Linked DNA regions of Drosophila melanogaster. Changing the gene in region 4 together with the main gene of any one other region gives a genetic interaction. Each region holds a gene or a part of one and is shown on either strand. Other genes may lie near its edges.

Evidence for each region.
Region 1: of sev (region 4) and Egfr, changing one suppresses a phenotype caused by changing the other (phenotypic suppression), as found in Drosophila melanogaster (2 studies listed by BioGRID).
Region 2: of sev (region 4) and drk, changing one enhances a phenotype caused by changing the other (phenotypic enhancement), as found in Drosophila melanogaster (3 studies listed by BioGRID).
Region 3: of sev (region 4) and Sos, changing one suppresses a phenotype caused by changing the other (phenotypic suppression), as found in Drosophila melanogaster (4 studies listed by BioGRID).

What each region holds. Positions count from the first base shown.
Region 1 is NT_033778.4:21,544,896-21,549,675, reverse strand, and holds the start of Egfr (epidermal growth factor receptor), read right to left. Parts: upstream 3,034-4,780; 5' UTR 2,086-3,033; coding exon 1,785-2,085; intron 1-1,784. UniProt on the Drosophila melanogaster protein: Receptor tyrosine kinase, binding ligands of the EGF family and activating several signaling cascades to convert extracellular cues into appropriate cellular responses. Known ligands include spitz, gurken, vein and giant-lens.
Region 2 is NT_033778.4:13,499,805-13,504,843, forward strand, and holds the start of drk (downstream of receptor kinase), read right to left. Parts: upstream 3,038-5,039; 5' UTR 2,887-3,037; exon of another isoform or gene 2,121-2,886; 5' UTR 2,087-2,120; coding exon 2,009-2,086; exon of another isoform or gene 1,670-2,008; intron 1,205-1,669; exon of another isoform or gene 817-1,204; intron 1-816. Other genes in the region: mars, read left to right, coding at 3,232-4,738, 4,796-5,039.
Region 3 is NT_033779.5:13,811,988-13,819,848, reverse strand, and holds Sos (Son of sevenless), read right to left. Parts: upstream 6,034-7,861; 5' UTR 5,636-6,033; coding exon 4,544-5,635; intron 4,491-4,543; coding exon 4,133-4,490; intron 4,071-4,132; coding exon 3,148-4,070; intron 3,084-3,147; coding exon 2,235-3,083; intron 2,173-2,234; coding exon 1,282-2,172; intron 1,214-1,281; coding exon 580-1,213; intron 515-579; coding exon 471-514; 3' UTR 25-470; downstream 1-24. Other genes in the region: CG16888 (uncharacterized protein), read left to right, coding at 6,615-7,124; CG16865 (uncharacterized protein), read right to left, coding at 7,215-7,370, 7,492-7,797. UniProt on the Drosophila melanogaster protein: Promotes the exchange of Ras-bound GDP by GTP. Functions in signaling pathways initiated by the sevenless and epidermal growth factor receptor tyrosine kinases; implies a role for the ras pathway in neuronal development.
Region 4 is NC_004354.4:11,083,280-11,088,099, forward strand, and holds the start of sev (sevenless), read right to left. Parts: upstream 3,021-4,820; 5' UTR 2,917-3,020; intron 969-2,916; 5' UTR 847-968; coding exon 166-846; intron 1-165. UniProt on the Drosophila melanogaster protein: Receptor for an extracellular signal required to instruct a cell to differentiate into an R7 photoreceptor. The ligand for sev is the boss (bride of sevenless) protein on the surface of the neighboring R8 cell.

The DNA.
Region 1 (4,780 bases), on a different chromosome or scaffold from region 4:
TTTTGCCTGAATGAACAATTAAAAGGTGATTTTTTGCCAGCGAGTGTAGCGTTTTGAACTATAAAGACGTCAACAACAATTGCCAGTTGTTCGAGTTTCCTACCCCCAACGATTTTTTTAACGGTTTCGATTCGAATGCACGTGCAGGCTTTTCTCTAGCATTTATTTGCATACATGCCGCAGCTGTGCTTATTTTTATGGTCATAAAGAAAACAGCGAAACAGTAAGCCAGAGCAAATAACTCGAACAATTTCTGCGAAAAGGGCATTGTGACAGCAGCGATCGTCTGTGCGAAAAAAAAGGGTAATATCGCTTTTTAAGGTTCTGGCATCTTTATCGGTTTCATAACTCGCTTATCTAGCCATACATACATACATACATACCACATCCACATATCCGGCTATGCGGTGGTGGTCTCCCGTCTCCCATTAGCATAGACTGCGTAGCCAAAGTTTTCGTTTTCCTATCAATATTTGCACAGTTGCTGGCGCACAATGCGCACATTCAGTTATTAATTTGCAGCTACAAGATCACTGAGTACTTGGTATCGACGGCCCGCTTTTATTCGCCTCCCATTTAATTTTTACTTTTCTGTTTGCCCGCCGAATACAAACATTTGCCTCAAAGTACTGTGCAAACAGACACCGCCAGATACGCCATGGAGTTCATTAAATTGTGGCCAAATGGTTACCCAAACATACAGCCAGCCAGCCAAGCAGCCAAAACTTCCAATATGCGAATACCAAATTTTGTGTATTAATTTATTTTCCAACGGGTAAGAAACAAAGAGCCCACAAAGAAAACCTCGAGAACTGCAGAGTCAACAAATTGAGTCGCCATTTTAGCTGGAAATTGTGTCGCTAGTTGCAGTTGCCCTATTGCTCTTACTGTTGCTTTTGCTGTTGCAATTGCAATTGCTGCTGATGCACAGAAAAGGGCACGCAGACGGCGGGAAAAGTGGCAGAGTGGAAAAATCGGGCGGTCTTAACACTAACTAACTACTACGCTTTACCTTGTACATTTGACATTACGAAATGCACAGCACAGTGCTCAGTGCTTGGCTAATCAGTGCGTTCTGGTATTCTGGTATGTTTGCCGTGATATCTGATGGCTAGGTGTGGGGGTAACTCGAAACAGGGGCGATAGTGCACACAAGACTCTTTGACTAAGCCAGCGCCAAGTCAAGAGGTGAGCCACAGGGCAGGTGAGACCGTCGCGAAGGGCAGGTATTAAATGGAGGGAGCATTCACTCTGGACTAGGGGATACCCTGGCGTATACGTGATATTGGGAAATATCATTCAAAGTCCATATTCCAGACACATAAATGTTAAGTAAGCTTATATTACTTAAAATACTACGAATTCACACACTATTGCAAGTGTTTTTTAATCTATGAGCTTAGTAAAATATTTGTAATATTGCACACTTTGCAGCTACCCCTCGATAATTGATATTCCCAGGGTAACGATAAGACCAAATAATACGAAATGCAGCCGAAAACGAAGCTATATTTAAAGTGCAGTACAGGGGAAAAATAAAAAAAAAACATCACAGCGATAAGATAAACGACAGCATATCGCTGGCACGAAACTACAATAAAAAAAAAAACACCTGAAAACGGTGGAAACTCTAGAGACCAACTGATACGGTGGCCAAATTCGGGACGACTTGGCTCTTTTGATATATGGGCAGCCAGTCAGTCAGCCAGATGATCTACATAAACACATTTTGATAGATGATGGGCGGCTTGAGGAAGATGGATAGATCCTTGCGGTGCACTTACTTTTCCCCTTGACGAACTCGTTCTTGTTCTTATCCTCCAGACTGGTGGGAATGGTGACTCCGTTGGCTCCCAGTCCCAGGGCGAAGTTGGCCCCGCCCCTCTGTCGATTTTGGGCCGAACTGCTGCGGTATAGGAATCGATCTCGATCCCGATCGCGATCTATATCCTGATGGCGCTGGCGATTGTTCTGGCGGGCGTAGCGATCGCGGGCCGCCGACGCGGGCCAAATGCAAATGCAGTGGGCCAGGAGCAGGAGCAGCAGGGGGAAGGGGCAGGGGCCGTTGCGCCGTCGCAGCAGCATTGTTGCGGGGCGGTGGGTGGTTTGGTGGTTGGTGCTTTTTGTGGGCGTTACTGGTGGGATGAATCAAGCCCTCTTCCAAGCTATAACCCCTGACGTCATAGGGGTTATTTTTTATTCGTTTCTTTTTCTTGAACTTGCGGTTTACTTTCGGCTTTTTGCTCACTCAGCTTTGCGTGCCAAAAATACAGCTTTTCATAAATTTGATTTCGACTCTTTCACTGCGTTTGCTGCGGTTGCTGTTGTTGTTGTTGTTGTTTTGAATTTAAGCTGTTGTCGTTGCAATTTGCCACTGTATTGGTGTTTACATTTCACTGTGTATGCGCGTGAGAGTGAGTGTGTGTTTTCGAGTGGGTCTTTTGAACGCGCCAGTGAGTGAGTGTGTGCGTGAGTGTAGGAACCAGTTTCACATTACGAGCCACAAGAGTCGTCCGAAGGCTTTCATATATATATATATATATATATGAGTGTATGTAAAAAATAAAATTTTTGTTATTTTTCAGATGTATTTTTCAGCTTCTTTTTTGAGTTCGCCAACGATTTTTGAGGTTAGAGAGGCGTGCGCAGGCGCAGCTCTTAGCTTTCAGCTTTAATTGATTGCCCTAAGCAATTGTTGTGTTGCCCCCGCAGCGGTTAACTTGCACAAAACACACACACTTGGCCATCATTCGAACTGAGCCACAACCGCCACAGCCGCGGCTGCCAATTAGCAGGGTATTCACAAAAATACGCTTAGTAGTATAGTATAGGCCAAAGGCACTTGGCTTACACCCCGTTTTTGGCTTTGGTTTTGGTCGTTTTGCGAACTGTGATTTCTCGGTACTTCGATTAGCACGATCTTCGAATTAGCAAACGCTGCGATCGAGAGCACAGATATGGCCGAGGATTCGAGCTCAAGACGTCCGTACTGAGCGATTCGCGTCCGCGCAGCAACAAGTTGTATTCGAGACTGAGGCCAAAGCCGCAGCCAAAAGGCGCTGCTCCCTCTCTGTCTCTCTCTCTCACTCTCTCGCCGTGTTTCTTACTCTCGATTGCGGCGAAAAGAGCGCGCACAGGTAAAAATAAAGGTGAACGGCGAAATCTCGAGCTCAGATCAGGTCAAAATAAAAGCAAAGCCAGCGATACAGCAACAACTACGGCACAGCTGCGCACCGCTGTCGCCACCTCTCGCTCGCTCAGTGCAGCGTTCCCACTCGCACCGCCAGCGGACCATCTCCATCCACAATCCACAGGTAATCGTAAACGTAGCAGCAGCATTTTAAAAAGTCAGCGTAATACGAAACGATACGGCCAGATACATTGGGCAATCTTCCCCCAGACCAGCAAATGCTCTACATATCATGGGAAAATGCTAAACGTTGGCCCTAATGCACAGAATCGAATTTAGCGCCATCTCAAATGAACGGAAACACCAACTAGAGATCTTAAGTTCGCAGAACATAACTTCAACTAACAATCTTAACATAGAGTACATGGCTCAGAGCGGTTAAGTATCCCAAGCTTGAAGAGTGGATACCAAAGAAGGACAATCTTTTTGCACAAAATATGTTGCTCGATATACAGGGCGTGTATAAATAATATACACACGGGATTTATGTTAAAAAAGTTAAGAAGCATTTATACGCAACAACCTCAGTTTTAAGATAGCAAAGTTTAGGTAGGATTAAGAAGGCGCCATAAATAGCCTTTTCAACTGCAGAGACGAGTTTTCCAACAAAGGAAAGTACTTGAGCAACAATGTCCTGATTTTCCCCTCCCCCCAAAATGCCCAATAGCAAAGACAAGAGCAAAAAAACCAATGCGGGGATTATCCGACAGCATCTTAACTCCGACAGCTGTGCAGGGCATTTAAGATTCGCATCGATTGCAGGTCGTTCCCAGGTAAGATCTTGTGTATATCCCAATTTCTTGACACTGCTGCTGTTGTTGTTGTTGTTGTTGGAGGTTCTGTTGTTGCGGCGAATTTGAGAGCGTTCAGGTAAAGCGATCGCCGCTCTCTCACCTGGCTGTATATACATGGGTATGTGTGGGCAATGCTGCCATATAAGCACAAAAGATCTCGGCAATTGTATCTGTATCTGTGTGTGTTTGTGTGTGTAACTGTGCCCGCATCTGCATCTGTGTCTGTGAGCCGAGCCTGCGTGGGCCATGGATTGTCTTTTGGCAAAAAGATTTTTGTACGAGCGTTGTCAACATTGTTAGGGCAGATCCAAGACCGAGATCTCGTTGGCCTCTTCTTCACCTGTTCCCAGCCCACAAGAAATCGGGGTTTTTACGCCTGCGCCATGTGCTCTGCGGGATCGGGCCAAAAGGACACTGTTTCGGCAGGTAAATCCGAAGCGTTTTGACCTTTTTCACTTTGCCATAACAGAAATACAAAAGGTGCACTTGGAAAAGCGCAACTAACTCCTCGGTCCACATTTGAATCTCGAATCCCACGCTGTGACTCTCGAGAGGCGTTGCATTGTCTTGCTCGGCGCTTTGTTTCAGAGCATGAAAATACATTTAAATTGAAAAGCATTTCCACAGATTTCCACGATGGGGTAAAAGCGCCATGCTCCGGTCTGCAGCCATAATCAAACATATTAATAGCCGTCTGTCCCAAGCCAGAAGACCTCAATCAAAAGGTACACTGCCCAAACCGTACGGAATCATCTGTCAAAATCGAAGAGCATGCAACTGACAGCCGAACATCGAG
Region 2 (5,039 bases), on a different chromosome or scaffold from region 4:
TTTTTTTTTCAGTGCAGGCAATGTGCAATGTGCCTGTTGGATAATGCATAAATATTTAGCGGCGCTTTCGGAAGGCAGGCACGTAGTGGCCATGATTGTTATTATCAATTGTTTATACTCGTATGCTTATGTAATTACTAGAGAAAAAATTCTATTGTCGTTTCGGAAATCCGACGCTGAAAAAAGTGTCAAAGCAACACGAACGTTCACTTTTCGCTGTTTTCGCGACAAGCGAAAGTTGAGCACAGAATCCCATTTCGTGTGTTTCACATTGTTATGATAAAACGTGGCCACTTTTGGTGCCCACACAACAAGGCCGTTAGAATTGGAGGCATTTTTTTTTTTGGAAAATGGAGCTCCAAATATCCAAGAAATACGCTGACCTGTAAACCAGTTTTCTGGAAAGAGAACGAACCCCAATGAAATGTTTGATGATTCACAGCGCTCCTCTCTCTATCGCCTTCTATGCCTGCTGTATGTTTGCTGGATTGGGGCATCTTTTCAGATAAGGCTATCGAGAAGTGACTAATCGCTGGCAAACAAACAAATGCGCTGGGAGTTCGAACAGATATGCGTAACATACATATCTCCAATGCGAGATAATCGTGTATTTCTATTTATCCCCCGCATCAATGGAGCCCAGAACTATGGGCTATTAAACGAACTATGACTATCAGTGCGGATTGTTTACCCATTGATAAGACCGTGCAGCTGGACAGAGGGCTCATCTACGGCGTAGAAGCCCCTCTAATGGACGGGAGCAGCGCACACACTTGACCTTCGGGCGGCGATAAAGAAGCCTCTTCGGCGAGTCATTGACACCATCAATCAGCAGCAGCGGCAGCAGCAGCAACAAATGCTGCAAATGCAGCGGCGGCATATGGAAAAGAGGCGCAAAAAAAAGAGGCACAAAAAGGGAGAAAACCTGCCACGGGCCTGGGTTCCTGCTGTGACTAACCTACGACAAGGTAGACACACAGCAACGAAAATCAGCTTACATCGCGCCCTGGCAACAAGAAACCGGAAAATTCGCCAGCCAAAACAAAGGGTTTGGCCTAGGACAGCCAGCCAGCCAGCCATCGAGCCAGTGAGCCAACACAAACACAAACACCTGGAAGGAAGCAAGGCGGCGAAAAAGATCGAATCGCAGCCTGCCAGCAGCCTTTTTCTTGGCCAGAAAAGCCAGCGAATACAAGCAACACGGGTAAGCATCGGATGTCCCCCACAAAGTTCCGCAAAGTCAAAGGGGGCATCGAATATATCATCACTACAAACTGTTGGAATTGTTTTTCTAAGCATTCGGAAGAAAACGAATAAGGAAAGTTGAAATAGTATATATACTATAGGAATGCTAACAATAAATAAGTTCATTCAAGGAAACACAGTGAAAAATGCTAGATTTGCAAAGTATAGTATATAGATTAAATCATATATGCATGTTTATAGCTTTAGAAACCCCCTCCTCACATCATTTTTTAAACTTACTTTGTAATGCTAATCACAACTATATGCAGATTAAATGGGGTCAAAAATATGGTCTTGATAGATTTGAAGTGCAGTTGAGAAATGAAAAAATGTAGAGTAGAATGTACAATATTTCAGTATGTGATGCTTCACAAGGATTTTGTACTGATAGTGGAATATATTTGACTGAATCTTTTCGTTCTAGTAAGAGTATTCGGGCTGCGGTGGCTAATGAGTCGTAATCCTTTCGTGTTGCCTTCTGCGAATGCACCTTTTGAAACTCTTTAGCCAGCTTTTGCGACTGCTGTCTGTTTGGTCGCGATTTAGTAACAAAATCTGTCTGGGGATTGAACCTAGGATGTGGGTTAAGGCAACGACCTGGACGGCGGCAGCTGCATCGCAGCGGATTATGCATGCAGGACCTGCCACGTCCCCCTGTGCACCCCCTTACACCCTTGCGTGCCCCCATTCAGTGTGAAGTCTATGAATAAATGCAGATATTATGATTTGAGGTGGGAATTGATGATTTTGGAACAGCACTCACCTTTAGAATCTGAGTTTTGCGAAAACTCAGCTCGTCGTCAGCCGTCGCAGAGAAATCGTGTTTGGCAATCGCTTCCATTTTGCTGTGTTGTTTTGTGCGCAGTTAGAAAACGCTTTCGGAGTTTGTTTTAAAATTTAGTTGCAATTGTAGTTTTGGATTTAGTTCTATCAGCCTTGATGCACCACACACACGCACACACAGAGGCACAGACACACACGCTCGTTCTCTGCTCTTTCTCTCTAACTCTCTTTGAATTTCTCTCTCACTCACTACTCAGTGCTGTGGAAATGAAAACGAAACGAGACGAATCCGCGATTAGTTAGCGCACATTATATAAACGATAAATCATGGATATTCGGCAGTGCGCTTTTCTCAGTTCGGTTAATAATAATATATCTTGTGCGAAGGCAAGGGAAGAAAGCGATTAAAAATACACCGACGACGACGACATTCCCAGGCGGAGCAGCAACAGAGAATGAACACAGACACGAGCCGCTCTCTCCACGGCGGCCACTGTGTGGGTGTGTGTGCGTGAGCGTGGCAGCGTTGCCAGCAGCTTGCGATTTGGAATTTCGGGGAAAAGCAGGTACCGCAAAAGCAATTAGACGATGTTTGGCTATTACTTGTTGTTATGCGAAGTAATTTGCCTTAAATAATATGAAATGTGTCGCTTAGAACACAATTAACATTTGGCAATCTAGGGCGTGGGTGCTTGCTGTTGGCAATGCTGCCGCGGTGACGTTGTTGTTTGTTTTATTTTTTGTAACCCCAATAAACACACACACACACACACACGCGGCGCTTATATTTCTATATGCGTAAGTTGCGGCTAACTATTTTCGAGTCTCTGGCACGTGCAAAGAGGCCGCCGGGCTTACAATTTCAAAGGGCTAGGGTGGCTGCAAGCTTAAGCGACACTAATTAGGCGCGGGAGCGGTTTGGCTAACATATTACTACTGCTAAATTTGTAATTCACTTTTATTTTCATAGCAGCGTGACCGTGGCCGGGTCGCTTTATTATTCCAAGAAAATATACTGAACACAACACTGTGGGAGAGGCATACCGCAGGGCTTTCGTAGTTTTCCTTCACCTGGTCACACCGCAAGACGCTTCGCCATTTTAAAAATCAAAACAGGAGACGCTTCGCCGGAAAAGTCAGCATTACGTTTCATTCCCAACCGGACACTTCAGTTTGACTCGCCCATCCGTCACAGCAGTCGCCATGCAGCGCCACAAGGAACTGTACAAGGAGCAATCGCTGGTGCTGAGTCCGCGCAATCACTGCCAGGAGAACAGGGATCGGTTGCAGGCGGCGCGCGCCAAAAAACGAGAGGATTGTTTTTATCAGAACCGCATCATCAGCGTGAGCCCGACGCCCGTCAAAATAAAGCAATTGGCGGCGGCCCAAGCTGCTCTGACCCAGGAAAATGTGGCACCCAAACTGGAGAGTCCGGAGCGGCTGGACACGAAGCCCGCAGAACTGCTGAAGGAATCCAACCCGAAGGTCTCCCGCCAGAAGCTCTACTTACAACGCTACATGGAGTGGAAGATAGCCAAGACCAAGGAGCATAAGCAGCAAGACCAGAAACGTCGAGGCGCAGCCATCAATGTGCCGACAGTAAAACAATCAAAGGCCTTGCCCAAATCACAAACATTTCGGGTTCCCGATAATCTGGCTTCTGCAAAGCAGAAGGAGGCGGCTCCCATGTTCCAGCCTCCCAAGCGGTGTTCTCTCTACATGATTGCCAATCCGACGGGCAAGGGAAAAGCCGCAGAACCGATTAAACCTTCAATACCCAAGCCAACGTCAGCAGCAGCTCCTCCGTCATCCAATACCGTGGCTGCATCTTCCGCCTTGGCCAGGCATAAATCAGCTGCTTCTGCAACAAAAATAGTGCCTGCAATTCGTCAGAACAACAATCCAGTGGCCTTGGCCAGGCAAAAAGCAGCTGCACGACCCATTCCCAACACAACGAAGCAAACTACCAGTGTAAGGCAGCCTGGGATTGAAGCGAAAAAGATCACTACCACCATACCCAGACCCACCCCAGCGACAGTCACGAAAGCGAAAACGCCAGGCATACGACAACAGCCACCAGTGGTCAGCACAAAGCCAAGATTACCTGAGCCGCCAGCGCCACGGACAGCTAGACTGCCCAATGTGTTGTCCAAGCCGTTCGAGAAACCTTTAGGAAACAAGGCACCAGTGACACGACGGGCGAATGTCGTGAAACCACAGCCTATACGTGGCGGAGGTGGTGCCGCGGCCAAGTTCAAGGACACAGCTGGAGCGACCAGCAAGGCAGCAAGTCACTCCATACGAATGAAGGCCACCAAGATAAAGAGCCAGTACACGAGGCTTCAGGACAACGTGCGAAAGCTTCCTCAGCTCAAAGCCGAGTTGCTGCACGCAGCCACGCTAGATATACCGCCTCTCACGCCGCTAGACGATATCCATAATCCCTTTATCGACCAGGCCACATCAACGCAGTGCAAGTCGAACAATAGCAGCGGTCATCTTTTGGAGGCGTTTGGCGACACCATCTTGTTGAGCCCGGTGGCACCGGTCAAAGCTGAAGGAGAAAGTTCGGTGAAAAGGCAGTTGCTGCCGGAAGGTAAGAAAGAGGCGTCAGGTCCGGTGGCAAAGAAAAAGTTCGACTTTACGCGTTACTCAGTGGCGAATTCGCCGGCGGAGGACTCGCTCATCTTGGATCCTCAGCAGACGACGGGTGAGTTTGGGATACGCCTTCTCCAATCTTAAACTCAAACTCACATTTTCCTTTCAGTTAAAGAAGACACTGGAGATTCCACTTTGGTGCCAGAGGGTACAAAGACACCGCCACGTCGCGAATCCAATGGAATGCCCAACTATCTCAGTCCGTTTGTTAGTGTCTCGCGGGGAAAGGTGAACTCGCGCTGTGAGAAGGAGAAACGCAATAGCTTCTACCTGTCCAATGAGGAATCGCCCTTGGAAGTTCGCCGTGCCATTGAATCGGTTCTGTACTTCCGACTGCAGCTGGAAAACGAGAT
Region 3 (7,861 bases), on a different chromosome or scaffold from region 4:
GGTCATCGAAAGATGTCGCCAAGTGTCTAACAATAGGGTTATACTTTATTGTTTTACGTTCTACGATCAATACAATGTTCTCGATATTTACAAATATTTATAATAGTAATTATATAATAACATAATTTCTTGTTTGCATTTCTTGTTGGTTGCTTGGTTGCTTGCTTGGTTTGTGTGTCCTGCATTCCTATCCATATGCGCGTGCCTGTTGTGTGTAAATGAGAGCGTATTTTGTCTGTCTGTCTGTTCTACCTTGTTAAATGAGTGGCGAATAATCTAAATCAGCGGTTCCAACTCGTTTCATACTAGAATACATAAACTGCGCCTACGTATATATGTATATATATATATATATATCTCACGTTCCGTTCTCTCATATATATATCTGCACTCAAGCAGTGCTCGCAACTTTGAATCTTACGGATCATACTCGTAGTTTTCGTCCTTATCACATCGCCAGGCAATTTAAATTATTCTTCGTTTGTACTTGGGTAAAGAAACATCGTACCTTTATCTGCAAACGGATAGGATGGTTGGGTTAGGAAACACGTTATCACGGGCCGAGTTGGTAGCACTCACCTGGATTGTTATAGAAGTTAGCGCTTAGACTAGGTTTTGGTGGAAGTTTGGGTGTGCCCTCGAGGCTCGTGGCAATCGGAAAGAACTCCTTGGGGGACGAGCGCGACTGCGTCGGATTCGAATGGTGCTGGTGCGGATGGTGCGGCAGATGGGTGGCATGATGTTGATGGTGCTGCGAGTAGATCGCTGGATGCGTCTGCTGCTGCTGCTGCTGCCGCATTCGCAGTTGGTGGGCATAGCTGCTCGACGTGCTCTCCACCGGATGGCTGGGAATGTTGGGAGACATGGGCGACATGGCGGGTGTCAGCGGTGATGTGGTCGTCGAGGAGCTTGCCGCTGGCGAGATCGGTAGCGGCAGCGGTTCGTCCGTCGCCACTGCCTGCGACACGGTCACTAGTGTCGTGCTGATGGGTCCCGCCGCCGCCTGGTTTGGCTGGCTAGTTGCCGCTGCCCGCTTCTCGATCGCCGAGTTGCGGCGTATCATAATACTGCTGGTGTTGGGCAGGAGCAGACTGCTGTTGCCCACAAACTCCTTGCTCTTGCCGTGGCTTTGTCGCAAGTAGCTGATGCCCGTGGAATGGTTGAGCCGTGGCGGTATCGGCGGCGGACTGAGTTCGCCATCACGCGGGGGTAACTGCAAGGATACGTAAAATGATTGCTGTCATCTGCTACTACAAATTAGAAGTAAGTGAGGCTACTTACTGTGGGTGCGTCTGGCGCCTGACGCTTTTGCGCCATGTCCGCACAGCTCTCAGTGCGCTCCTTGCGTCTGGGTGGCAGTGGAGGCGGCACTGCTCGGTACTCCATATTGGTGGCCATCGGAACGTTGACATGCGGCGAGATGGGCACTGCCCCCGGCTGTCCCTGATGGGCACTGTTAAAGTAGAATCCACCCGCGCAGAATTCCTCCCCGCCCGATGTAGACATGCCTGTAAGGGTCACGGTACTGGCAGTGCTATGCGTTGGGCTGTTCTGCATGCGCCCATGGAATGGTGATCGATTGCCGGTTTCGTGACGCGGACTGACCACTAGCTTGGGCAGCGGCGACGGTGGAGCTTCCGTGTCCGATGCGAATGGATTGCTGTCCGGCAGGGACTGCGGTGGCAGATGCTCCGGCAGCGCTGGACTGAACACAACATCCATTGCCGACGCACTGGCCAGTGTCGAGTTGTTGTTAGCCCAGACATGCGCGCCCGGTTTCTTGGGGAGATGTGGCGCCGGCACCGAAACCTCCCCGTTGTTCTGGTCCGTTCGAGTGTGCTGTGGCGTTCCACTCCAGCTGCTGGTGTTCCGTTCGGGTATAATAACAGGGGCGAAAACGGAGAAAGCGTGCGGATTGTGCTGCGGACTTTGCTCGCCAGCGAGAGTTCCAGATCCAGCATTAGCTGCTGCTGCTGTTGGCGCATCCATTATGCTGGAGGCGTGCAAAGATGGCGCCGATGCCGTAGCTATTGAGGTGGCCGTTGACGATGCTGCCGCTGCCGCCGCCACGGACGACGTGCTGTTCGACAGCTTGCTACTGCTGTTGGTCTGATTCTGGCGACGCGGCTTGATGCCCGGCGATTTGAGCGGAATGTGCGGCCATTTTCGAGGCTACGAAAGGAAAATGGTTAAATTTCCTATATGACTTGTAAACTTTGAAGCATTATACTTACGAATTTCGGCACTGTCTTGCAGCCCCTTGGCTCAATGCGCAGGCTTTCGTTATAGAGATAGTCGGACATCTGTTTGTCGGACAGTCCGTTAAACGGATCCAGTTGCTCGAAGAACTGTCGTATTGTGGACTCCTCGTTGAGGCAGTATGGCTGGTTCTGGTACTGTTGAATCTCGCCAATAATCTCGGCCACTTTCCGTCGTTTGGAAAAGTTAATTAGCTCTGTGTTGGCTAGCAGGTCGGGGTTACCCTCCTCCAAGTGGAGTATGTTGGTCAAGTAGCGACCGAAAAATGGCACACAAGGCGGATTGATGGATCGCAATCGCTCCTGATACTTTTTGAGATGATCGTCGCTGAGCTCGCGGCATTCCTCCAAGAATTTTCTGTAGCGTTCGGGCAATCCCTGGAATGTCCACCGCAGTCGATAAACAGATGCCGTGCCCATAGCCGCGACAATCGAGAGGATTCCATTAAAATTGTTCAATTCCAGCATCACCATCATCACTTCGATTGCGCGTTGCATAATAGCCAGGCGTTCCTCGTAGTTCTCCGCTTCGGTGATGGATTTTTCAATCCAGCGGGTGACGTTCGTGGTGTGCTTCATTATCTTCAGTAGATTAGGGCTCTTCACCTCCTTGTCCTTTTTCGTCCAGGGTGATCCGACCAACTCAGACGGCTTTACATTCTTGTACATCTCGAATTCCAGTAGAGTGAGCTGACGGGCCAGTTCCAGTGGGTGCAGGGTGAGGAGCGTTATCTCGTCGTTGGGTACACTAAGGTGATGCTCAATGGGCGGCGGATCGTGGCCATAGGCGTATACAATCTTTTTATTGCTTTTCTCCTGCTCGTTCTGTAAATAATATTTGAAAAATGATAACGATACTTCCACATTATGCTGTTGACCAACTACTCACCTTTCTCTGAACAATCTTAAGCACGGAATCCACCCACTTGCGCATCGATTTGCCATTCACGTGCTCCAGAAAGTTCAGCAGCTTCTCCAGCAACATGGGATCCTTCTCGAAATCGTAAAAATGATGGTCGACCCAATGGCGCAGTACGTTGAGCACTCGAAACTGCACTGGCTGCACGTACTCCTTGCGATATCGTTTCCAGTCCTCGCGATGCGAGTTCTTGTGCTCCTTGTCACCGCCAACGCCGCCCATTCCACCCGCACCTGCTGTGCCCGTGTCTTGATAGACCAGGCTGGGATCCGGTATGTTAAAGCGTTCCACCAGCAGTTGCAGCAATTGCTGCGGCGAGCAGAAGTAGCGATATGTGGTGAGGAAGGTGCGCACAAAAGTCGGATCGGCGTAGATGTGATAGGTGAGGCGCTCGATTAGCTTGCAAAGCGTCGCTCCCTTGATCATCGGCACTCCTGCGCTTTCGCGCTCCTCCAACACGATATTGTCACCGCTGTCCGGCACCGCGAACTTGTAAATCTCCGGACTGGGCATCCGCAGCGGATGCTTTCGCTCGATGTCTTGCAATATGCTGTCCAAGTGCCGGTCCAGCATCGACTTGGTGATAACCATCAGCAGGTCTGCCATCCAGTCGTGCTTGTGCTGTGCATTCTTGGCGGTCAGCACAATGGGCGGCTGCATCCGGGGTGCCAACTCAAAACTGTTCTTCAGATCATCGCTGTCCGGTCGATCGTTGATATCCACGCGTCGCATGAAATACTTCTCCTTCAGTCGGTAGTCGTAGGCCGTTGCTCCTGCCGATGGTGTTTGTTTCTTGGTGTTTGCCTTGCATAGCACCATTAGCCCGTCGAAGAGGAATACCTTGCGCTCGCTCCAGATTCGTTTTCCCGATCCAAGTTTGCTCAGCGAATCCTCTGTAAATTTGAAATACCATTTTAGTTGGAGGATGCAAGTAACTTTCGTTGCCAGCACTTACCGCGAATAAATTCATTGCAATTCTGGCCCACGTCCTTGTCCTCCCAGTGCTCCACCTTCATTTGGAGCTCCCGTGTCCGCTCGATTGCCAGCTGGCGGCGCACTCGACCGCTAACCGGAACTTGTCGCTCCTTGGACAGGCTGGCCATTACCTTTTCGAGATCGCAGTGGAGTGGATGCAACAGTCCCTGTACCTGTTCGAAGCTCTCGATGTCGTCCTGCGAAGAGCTGAGATCCTTGAGATGCTTGATGTAGTCGAAATACACGAAGGCATGGCAAATGGGCACCAGAAGCAGCTTGGGCAAATAGTATTTGACCGCATCGCGGAAGCCATGGCCGGCTGTGGTCAGAGATGAGGCCTAAAAGCAGGGATTTTAGTAGAATTCTTCGCACAGAAGGTATCAATACTTACCCCTGGCTTAGACAGGAGATTGTTGAGAGCATCCCGTGAGGCCTGCGAGGTAACGTCGTAGGCGTACTTCTTGTACACATCGAACTCCTCGGCCTCGGCCAGTTCCTCAAAGCAGCTACCGACGCAGGGGGCACTCTGCTCCTGGGACATCTCGATGACGTCCTCCAGGGAGCCGAGCAGAGTGACCGTCACCTCGTAAATGTCCATTATGTTGGAGAATATCGGTTCCAGCTCGCGCGGATCGGACACGATCTTCACCAGCTCCTCACGAAAGACGCGTATGATCATGTGCAGGTCGCGTTGGTACTGCTTCTCGTCGTGGATCAGCTCCTTGACCGTCTCCTCGTAGGTGGCACTTGCACGCTGCGCGGGAAGTGACAGGGGACTGGGCAGGATGTGGGCTTCGCTCTGGTTGAGCATGTCCATTAGCACACGATCGGCGTTCATCACCACCTCGATGTCCTCCTTGGTGATCTCGCAGTGGGCGATCTTGATCACATAGTCGCCGGCCATTTTGAGTATGTCCGCTGAGATGTACTCGAGCACGGCCACCAGGAAGGCGGACACGGAGCTATCGATCTTGTACTGCAACACATCCTTCTGGAGCAGCGTGTGCACCTTTTCCGTGGGCAGGACAGACTTGCGTTTCTTCGAGTTGATCACCTCCTTGGCCTCGTTCAGGGCCCACTGATCGATGGGCGCTGGAAAGGACTTGTTCACCTTCTCCTCCACATCCTGCACGGAATGGGGCAGCGGCTTGGCGCACAGCATGGCCAGAAGCCGCAGACAGAGTTTCTCCACATACAGCAGTGCGTCCTCCTTGGCGGTAACCCGTGGATGCACTTGCTCCAGCACCTTCTTTAGCGATGGCGTAAACAAGCCCCTCCATCTCGCAGCATTCTCGCACTTGGTGAAGTCATAGCCATCGCAATCCTGCAGCCCAGCCACGCCACCGCCGCCAATGCCAATACCACCGCCTCCGCCCTGTGAGCCACTACCACTACCACCGCTGCCGCCGCCGCCTCCAGTGCCCAGACCGATCCCGCCCCCGTAGCTAATGGTGTGGGCATGGCCGCTGGGCCCCGAGAACATTCTGTGCGCCGTGGAGTAGCCGACGAGAGCCTGCCGTGGAGCACCTTCGTTGGCCGCCTGCCCTCCGCCTCCCCGCCCGCTGTGTTGTGCACTGAATCCAGCGACGAGTGGAGTGGAGCGGAACCTGGAAACTGGAAACCTGGAACCGTGGGGCACCTGGCACAGCCGGATCACCCGGGCGAACGTCGCATGGCAGTCACACACACTCAAGCGCACGCACTGAACTCGTTTCGAATCTTGAACGGGGCTCGCGCGTCCGTTTCGTTTGCAAATCGCTTGGGCTTCAGCACTTGTTTTCAGAATATGTATCTTCGATATATATATGTATAATATAATCTTCAACTCAATATAATATTTTTCGCGGTGTGACCAGAGTGCGGCACTGCCTAAATCCAGTAAATGCTCGCGACCAGCCCTGATTCGATGCTTAAGAATGTACTAAAAAATCCAATGTAGAGAGCATTCGTGTTGAATGGCTTTTTTAGCAGAAGAAGAAGCATTTTGAATTTAAATTGCAACGAGCAGGTTTAAAATATATTATAATTTACCCAAAAAAAATGAATTTAATTATCTCTTCAATGTTTATATTTCAAGAAATTTATATTTATATTTATAAAATGTCTTTCCTTATCTAAAATCGTAAGGAGATATGCAACATACATATCGACTCATCCCTTATTTTACTTGGATAATGTAAGATACATCCGCTTTCAACGCTTCTAAATCGAAAACAAGTACAATGTGTTCAGTTGAAACAATTAAACATATGAAAGCAATGCAATGCAACAGAATACAAAAACCAAAAACAGTTAGGGAGCTAGCTTCCAGAAGTCGAAGCTTCTATACCCTCGTATAATTATATATTTGAAAAACAATCCATCCAAAAACCATAACTATACGGTATATAGTATACATATACACATATATGTACACTTTTACTTTGTTGTCAAATTTTCAGTGTATAATACTTCAGGTTTCAATGTCCGCTTATAGATTGAGTTGCATCGGGAACGCGGAATGGGGACCCCATACCTCCAATCGTTCCAGCTCACTATTCAACTCGGAGGCCATCGAACAGTTGCGCGATAAGTGGACCCACTTCTTTTTTAACCTGCCAAAGGCGCCTCTCGAATTGCAGCTGGCCAAAGCCCGAGCGAATCGTGCACTCGAGCTGGTCAGGAGCAAGGAGAAGGCTGCTTTGGAACGGACCGAATCCTCGCCAAGAAGTAAGTGCCGTCCACTCACTGCTCTGCACAACTCGCCGCGTACCACGAATCGAATGAAGCTGATCATGGAGACTCGCGTGCGTCCAGCGATCGTCAAAAAGTCAAAGTCGGAGTACAATCTATGTCCCAGTTGTGGGCTTGTCAAGGACTCGATTCTCAATCACCAGCACGCCGAGCAGCGACTGAAGAAGCTACTGGCACAGCATCCCAGTTTGCTGCCAAAACGACAGCATAGAAGGTCAAACTATTTGCGTATGCTATAACTAGATAAATTGCAATTTTTCTTCCAAGAATGCCAGCCATTTGTGTCGTCAAATATATTTAGTTGTGGGTAATAAGGAGGCAGAGTGTGACTATCTTTCCAGTAGCGTGCCGCGCTGCTTCTTCTGCGGCGGAGGTGCGTCCTCTGTCTTGGTTTTGATGCCCACATCGCTCAATTTTCCGCCTTTGCGCTGCAGTTGCTTCTCGATAATCCTTGCGTTGTTCGCATAGCTGTCTGCGATCTCGCGCTGTTTGAATGAACAAAAAAAATGGTTAGTTTGAAAGAGTTGTAGGTTTGTTCGTAGATGATGCAATGATAGATTGGATTTCCTGCACCATTTACAAACCAACTTTAGCTGACAAACTTACCGCCTCGATTTCATCCTCCTCCTCGTCGATGGTAGACACCGTGACCGAGCTGAACTTGCCCATGTTCTTCGTGTGTCTGGTGACGACGACCTTCTTGCCACTGGCATCCACAATACCCGAATCGTCTGGACCGGCGGAAGTCGCTGGCTTGGCAGCCGGTGCCTTGAAACTGCCCTTGATCTCCGAATTCAGCAGCTGTGTGAGAGGACTCTCACCCTTGTTGCGGATTAGGGCATTGGACATGACGAAGGTTACGTGGGAGTCGGGACTGTGGCGATAGTAAAGCGGCAGACTGCAGCTTCGGCACTGAAGGTTAAAGGAAAACATTAGGTGAACTAATGACGGGTAAGGAGTGGAAGTCAGCTACTCA
Region 4 (4,820 bases):
GTCGCTTTACCCTTTTTTTTCTTTGCTTTGCCCTGGGGAAAGTCATGTTTTATGCATGTTTTATGCATGTTTTATGCTCTTTTGACACCATCACGAAATGTGCATTATCACAATGTATGTAAATACAATATAAAACTTAGGTAATGTTAGAAATCTAGAACTCACCTCAACAATGCAGCGCTGCACACAATCCCTGGTCACGCGTTCCAGGACCATTCGCTCGTCGACGCCATGCTGTTCCTCCGAAGGATCACGATCCCGATCTCGATCATCTGGATGATGGGCCATCGTTGACTGTGGCCTGCTGCTGATGGCGATGCCCTCGACAATGCTTGGCGGAGCTGCGGCGGCGTGCTTGTGCCAGATGGCCACCTTCTCGACCACATCGCTGTCCAGCTTGGGACGCAGCAGGCGCATTTGGTCTTTGGAGACGGGTTCGGGACTCTGGTGCACCGTATAGTTGTGCGATCGGCAGACATCGCAGCAGATCGAGAGTAGAATGAGCAGGAGAAGATTGATGATCAGTATGGTGGATATGCCGCCATGGCCATCCTGGCCACTGGCCAATTGGCGGCCTAAGCGAGCCAATTGCTGACGTAGATCGAAGGAGCTGCTCTGCTGGCGGACCACAATCTTGCTGGGTGAGGCATTCTGGGAGTTCGACGAGGAGGAGGAGGTGCCAGGTGCCTGCTGATTGATGTGGGTGGTGGTCATCTTGGTATTCACATTCACCGCGATCTTCACATTGAAGCTGATGTTCAATCTCTTTGTGGGCGCCGCACCCTTCGCCTGTTTGTCCTGCTCATCCGACTGGTGGTCTACATTTTGTTGCCAAAACATAGTCATCGAGGCACTCGATCTTCACCCCGAGTTCGCGATTTGTGGCGTTCGATTCCTATTTCACTCGATAATCGTTGTTTGCTTTGGCTGAATTAACATTTTAGTGCCGCATTTGACTGAAAACGAAACTGAAACACACAACACAGTGACCACCGCAGTGTAAATCAAAAGAGAAATAGAAAGAGAGGGGTGAATTTGAACAACGCACAAATAAAAATCAGATTTCAAATAGCAGAGTCAAAAAACCAATTCAATTGGAAATTTTAAGTACACAAACTAATTTCCATTTTATGCAAATTCGAGAAGCAGCAAACGAGGCAGTTACAAAAAATTAAATGCAAGTGATATTTTACGGATACCCTTTACTCAACATTATGTCATATAATGTTAAAATATATGAATACATTTTTATATAATTTATTTAGCGAATTTGAGAAATGAGTCTCGTTAACTTTCCATTAAACAGAATGACTTATTTCTTGTACTTCAATTCATTGCAGTTGCAATTTAAAGGCATAAAAAAAGCTGCTAAAAGGCCCGAACCTAGTAATTTACAAATATTTGCAGTATATCAGCAAGCCAAGTTTTGTCTAATTAATAGATACTCCAATCACTGTATTTACAAAGTGGCAGTTCTGCCCTTGCAAAATGCTATATTACTATCATTTTTGTCAAACCGTCAATTATCATGAGTTTTCCGGATTATTACTCAATTTAGTGTAACAAGCATAAACAATTTACATGTATAGTTGATTAATAGCTGTACCAATAGCATTAAATGATATTTGCATATTTGAAAATTTGATGTATATAATATATTTGATATATTTGATATATATTTGATATATTTGGAAAATAATTAATAAAAATAAGTAGGCAAGTGAATATACCCCAAGAAAAAGCTTAACTACATTGCATTCTACTTATTTCAGATGCAGCTCAAAGGTTCAACGCACATTGCCGGCGAGATAAACAGGGTAAACACAAACACACACACACACAATCTAAGTCCGGATCGATAAGCCAAAATCCCAATGATCTCCGTAACTGGTTTGGCCAGCTTCCACCGCCCAACTCATCCAAATGTCGCCGGGATTTCGATTAGAGGACATGGATGGTCCATGCTCTCATGGTCCATGGTCCAATTAATATGGCGTCTGCATAATCAGCTAGCCAAGCGACAAGTTTCAATTAACATGGCGTAATGCATGGCCAATAAGTCACGCCCCCTTCGACCGACCACAGCAAAAACAACAACAACAACAACAACAACAACAACAATAGCGAACGGGAAGTGGCCATAACAAATTTATCCTCATTAAGATGCAAACACATTCGACGGACGGAGAATAATCGAGCGGAGTCGCACTTTCAAAAACGGAAATCCCTTTTGTCCGCAAGTTCAGCAAAACCATAGATATACATATATATATGTATATATATATATATGTATATATAATAGTTAATTGCACTTTAATTTCATATTTACCAGCAACAACAACAGCACAGCAGCACGGAAAATGTTAATTAAATCGCCCGATGAGCAGACTAGACCGAACAAATATATATATGTATAAACAAAATGAAACAGAAAAACCGAAAATAAATTGAAATTCAAATTGAATAAACCGCGCGAAATAGTGAAAACACGAAAGATCACAGCGGGATTAATTGCATTAAAGTTATTCAGAGAATATTATGCAAAAGCTGCCGGCCAGCGTTTTGCATTAATTAGTCGAAGGTATGTATGCTATAGTATATATATATACATATTTGTACAATCAGAAAGTCAAAACCGATGGAGCCTTAAACTCTCACCCACATTTCGCTCGAATCGCCGCTGTTGAAGTTGTTAAGCGCTGTTCACGCGCTTTAATTCAATTTATTGTTGATTTGAGCGGCTTAATTGCATTTTATTGTTGCAGTTGCGGCCCCAACTGAAAAGCAACTCCACACACACACACATAGGAACACTTAGTGCACGCGAAAAAAAAAGGGTATTAAAAGAGCCGAAATTCATGCAAACACACACATACGCGCACGGATGTATCTTGTATCTTTGAGAACGCAACTCACTCGACAAAATGTCACAGATATCTGGATGTGGATCTGAATCTGGATCTGGATGTGCGATTCCCGAAGCGTTACGTAGTGCGCAGTGGCGCGATCGCAGCAGAACTGATTTGCCGGCGAGCGGCGGCTTTTTAACCAAGCCCCAAGCTCCAAGTCCAAGTCCAACCCCCCAGCTGGAGAACTTGAGCACGGAACTGAAACCGAACCGAAGCGATGCGATGCGATACGATACCATACGATACCATACGATACCATACGATGCGATGAACGATGAGTGACGAAGCGCACCGCAACCGAACCGAACTGAACCGAACCGATCTTAAATGACCATTGATCTTCTTTTTCGTTGACGCAGCAACTATGACGTCATTGGCAGGGCAACCCCTAAACTGGATATCATGGGTAGATAGCCCACCGCGCTCCTCTTTCCATGGGTCAAAGCTCAACTCAATCGGTTGATCGCAGATCGCAAGCAGGCCGCCAGATATTTAAGTTCTTATAGATACATAGATAGATAGATGTATTTTCCATCTCAAGAAACCAATGCCACCTCAAGAGTATCTATCTAAAATATAATCTTAATAAAAACATGATCTTAACATTGTGCATCTAGTTGATTTGATGATTTTCGGTTTTTAATAAGCTTCCGACTTACATAGTAACATCTTTGTATCATTAAAATTAAGGTAATGGGCCGAGGCTATGTAAAATGTATATAATTATTAAATTATAGTACTTATTTTTGAGCTAGACTTATTAAGACTAAATATATTGAAAAGCTTACATCCAAAGAGGGTTAAATTTCAACTTCTTGCAATGGAAAAAAACTTTATTCGTTTACAAATGTTAACAGAAATAATTTAAAATACAACTCAATTTACTCTAAACATCGTCACATGAATAGCGCAAATCAACGCGCTTTTTCGCCAACAAATAAACGTGGCAGAAAATTTGTTTAAATCGTTTAGCTGACTCACTCTTTACATTTAGCTAAGCATTAACAGCACACCTAAATTGATTATTAAACTAATTGATCGCAAGCAGCAGTAAACGCTTGAAAATAATTGAATTCAATAGGGAACTAGCCCACACAATCAGAAAATAAAGTCATCAATTGGGGTGAATAGAAGTGTATTTCCATGAAAAGTAAACGAGATGTGGAAAGTCATAGAAATTTCATTAAAAATTTTCTATCAAACTACAAAATATCATATTTCCATAACTTTTTAACCGAGAAATATGAAGAAAACAAGTTAAGCTATTAATTTCATTGATTTACACAAACATTTAGGTATTTTTTTTTTACTCTGTAGAATCAAAAACTCGCAAGCTAAGAAATATGCAATATTTTAAAGCATTTTCCGAGCATTTGAAGCACACAAGAGTAGGCAATTTTCCGGTTACACATGACTCGTGACTCATACAACTGACACTGCGGGATGAAAAATTGAGCGGCGAGTGAAAGGCTTGCGTGACAGCTTCCGTTTCCGGTTCCGCCATCAAGTCCAAGTATCCCTTTCGCTTATGGATTTTTTGGCCAACGGAAAGGATGTGCCGCAGACATCCAAACTGCACTCGTGCGCACAATTTCTTGGCCCGAATAATCTGTGGAAATCCAATCTCCCGCCTGGGATCATCGAATTCGTACTAATCGTTTGAAATATTCTGGAATTGATTAGACGGCAAACTTATTACACACACTTGACGGAAGATGCGGCTTATCAACCCGAGCGATTCTCAATGGATTCGCCGGCGGACTAGGTGCTACATACCTATTTCACAGACTGTCACGTGAAAATCAGATTTTCGCATTTTTTTCGAAAAAAAAAGGGACAACCCCGGAAATTCACCTTCTGATTGACGTATTGTGCACATTTTGCATGCAAACTCTTTTCAATCTTGAACTG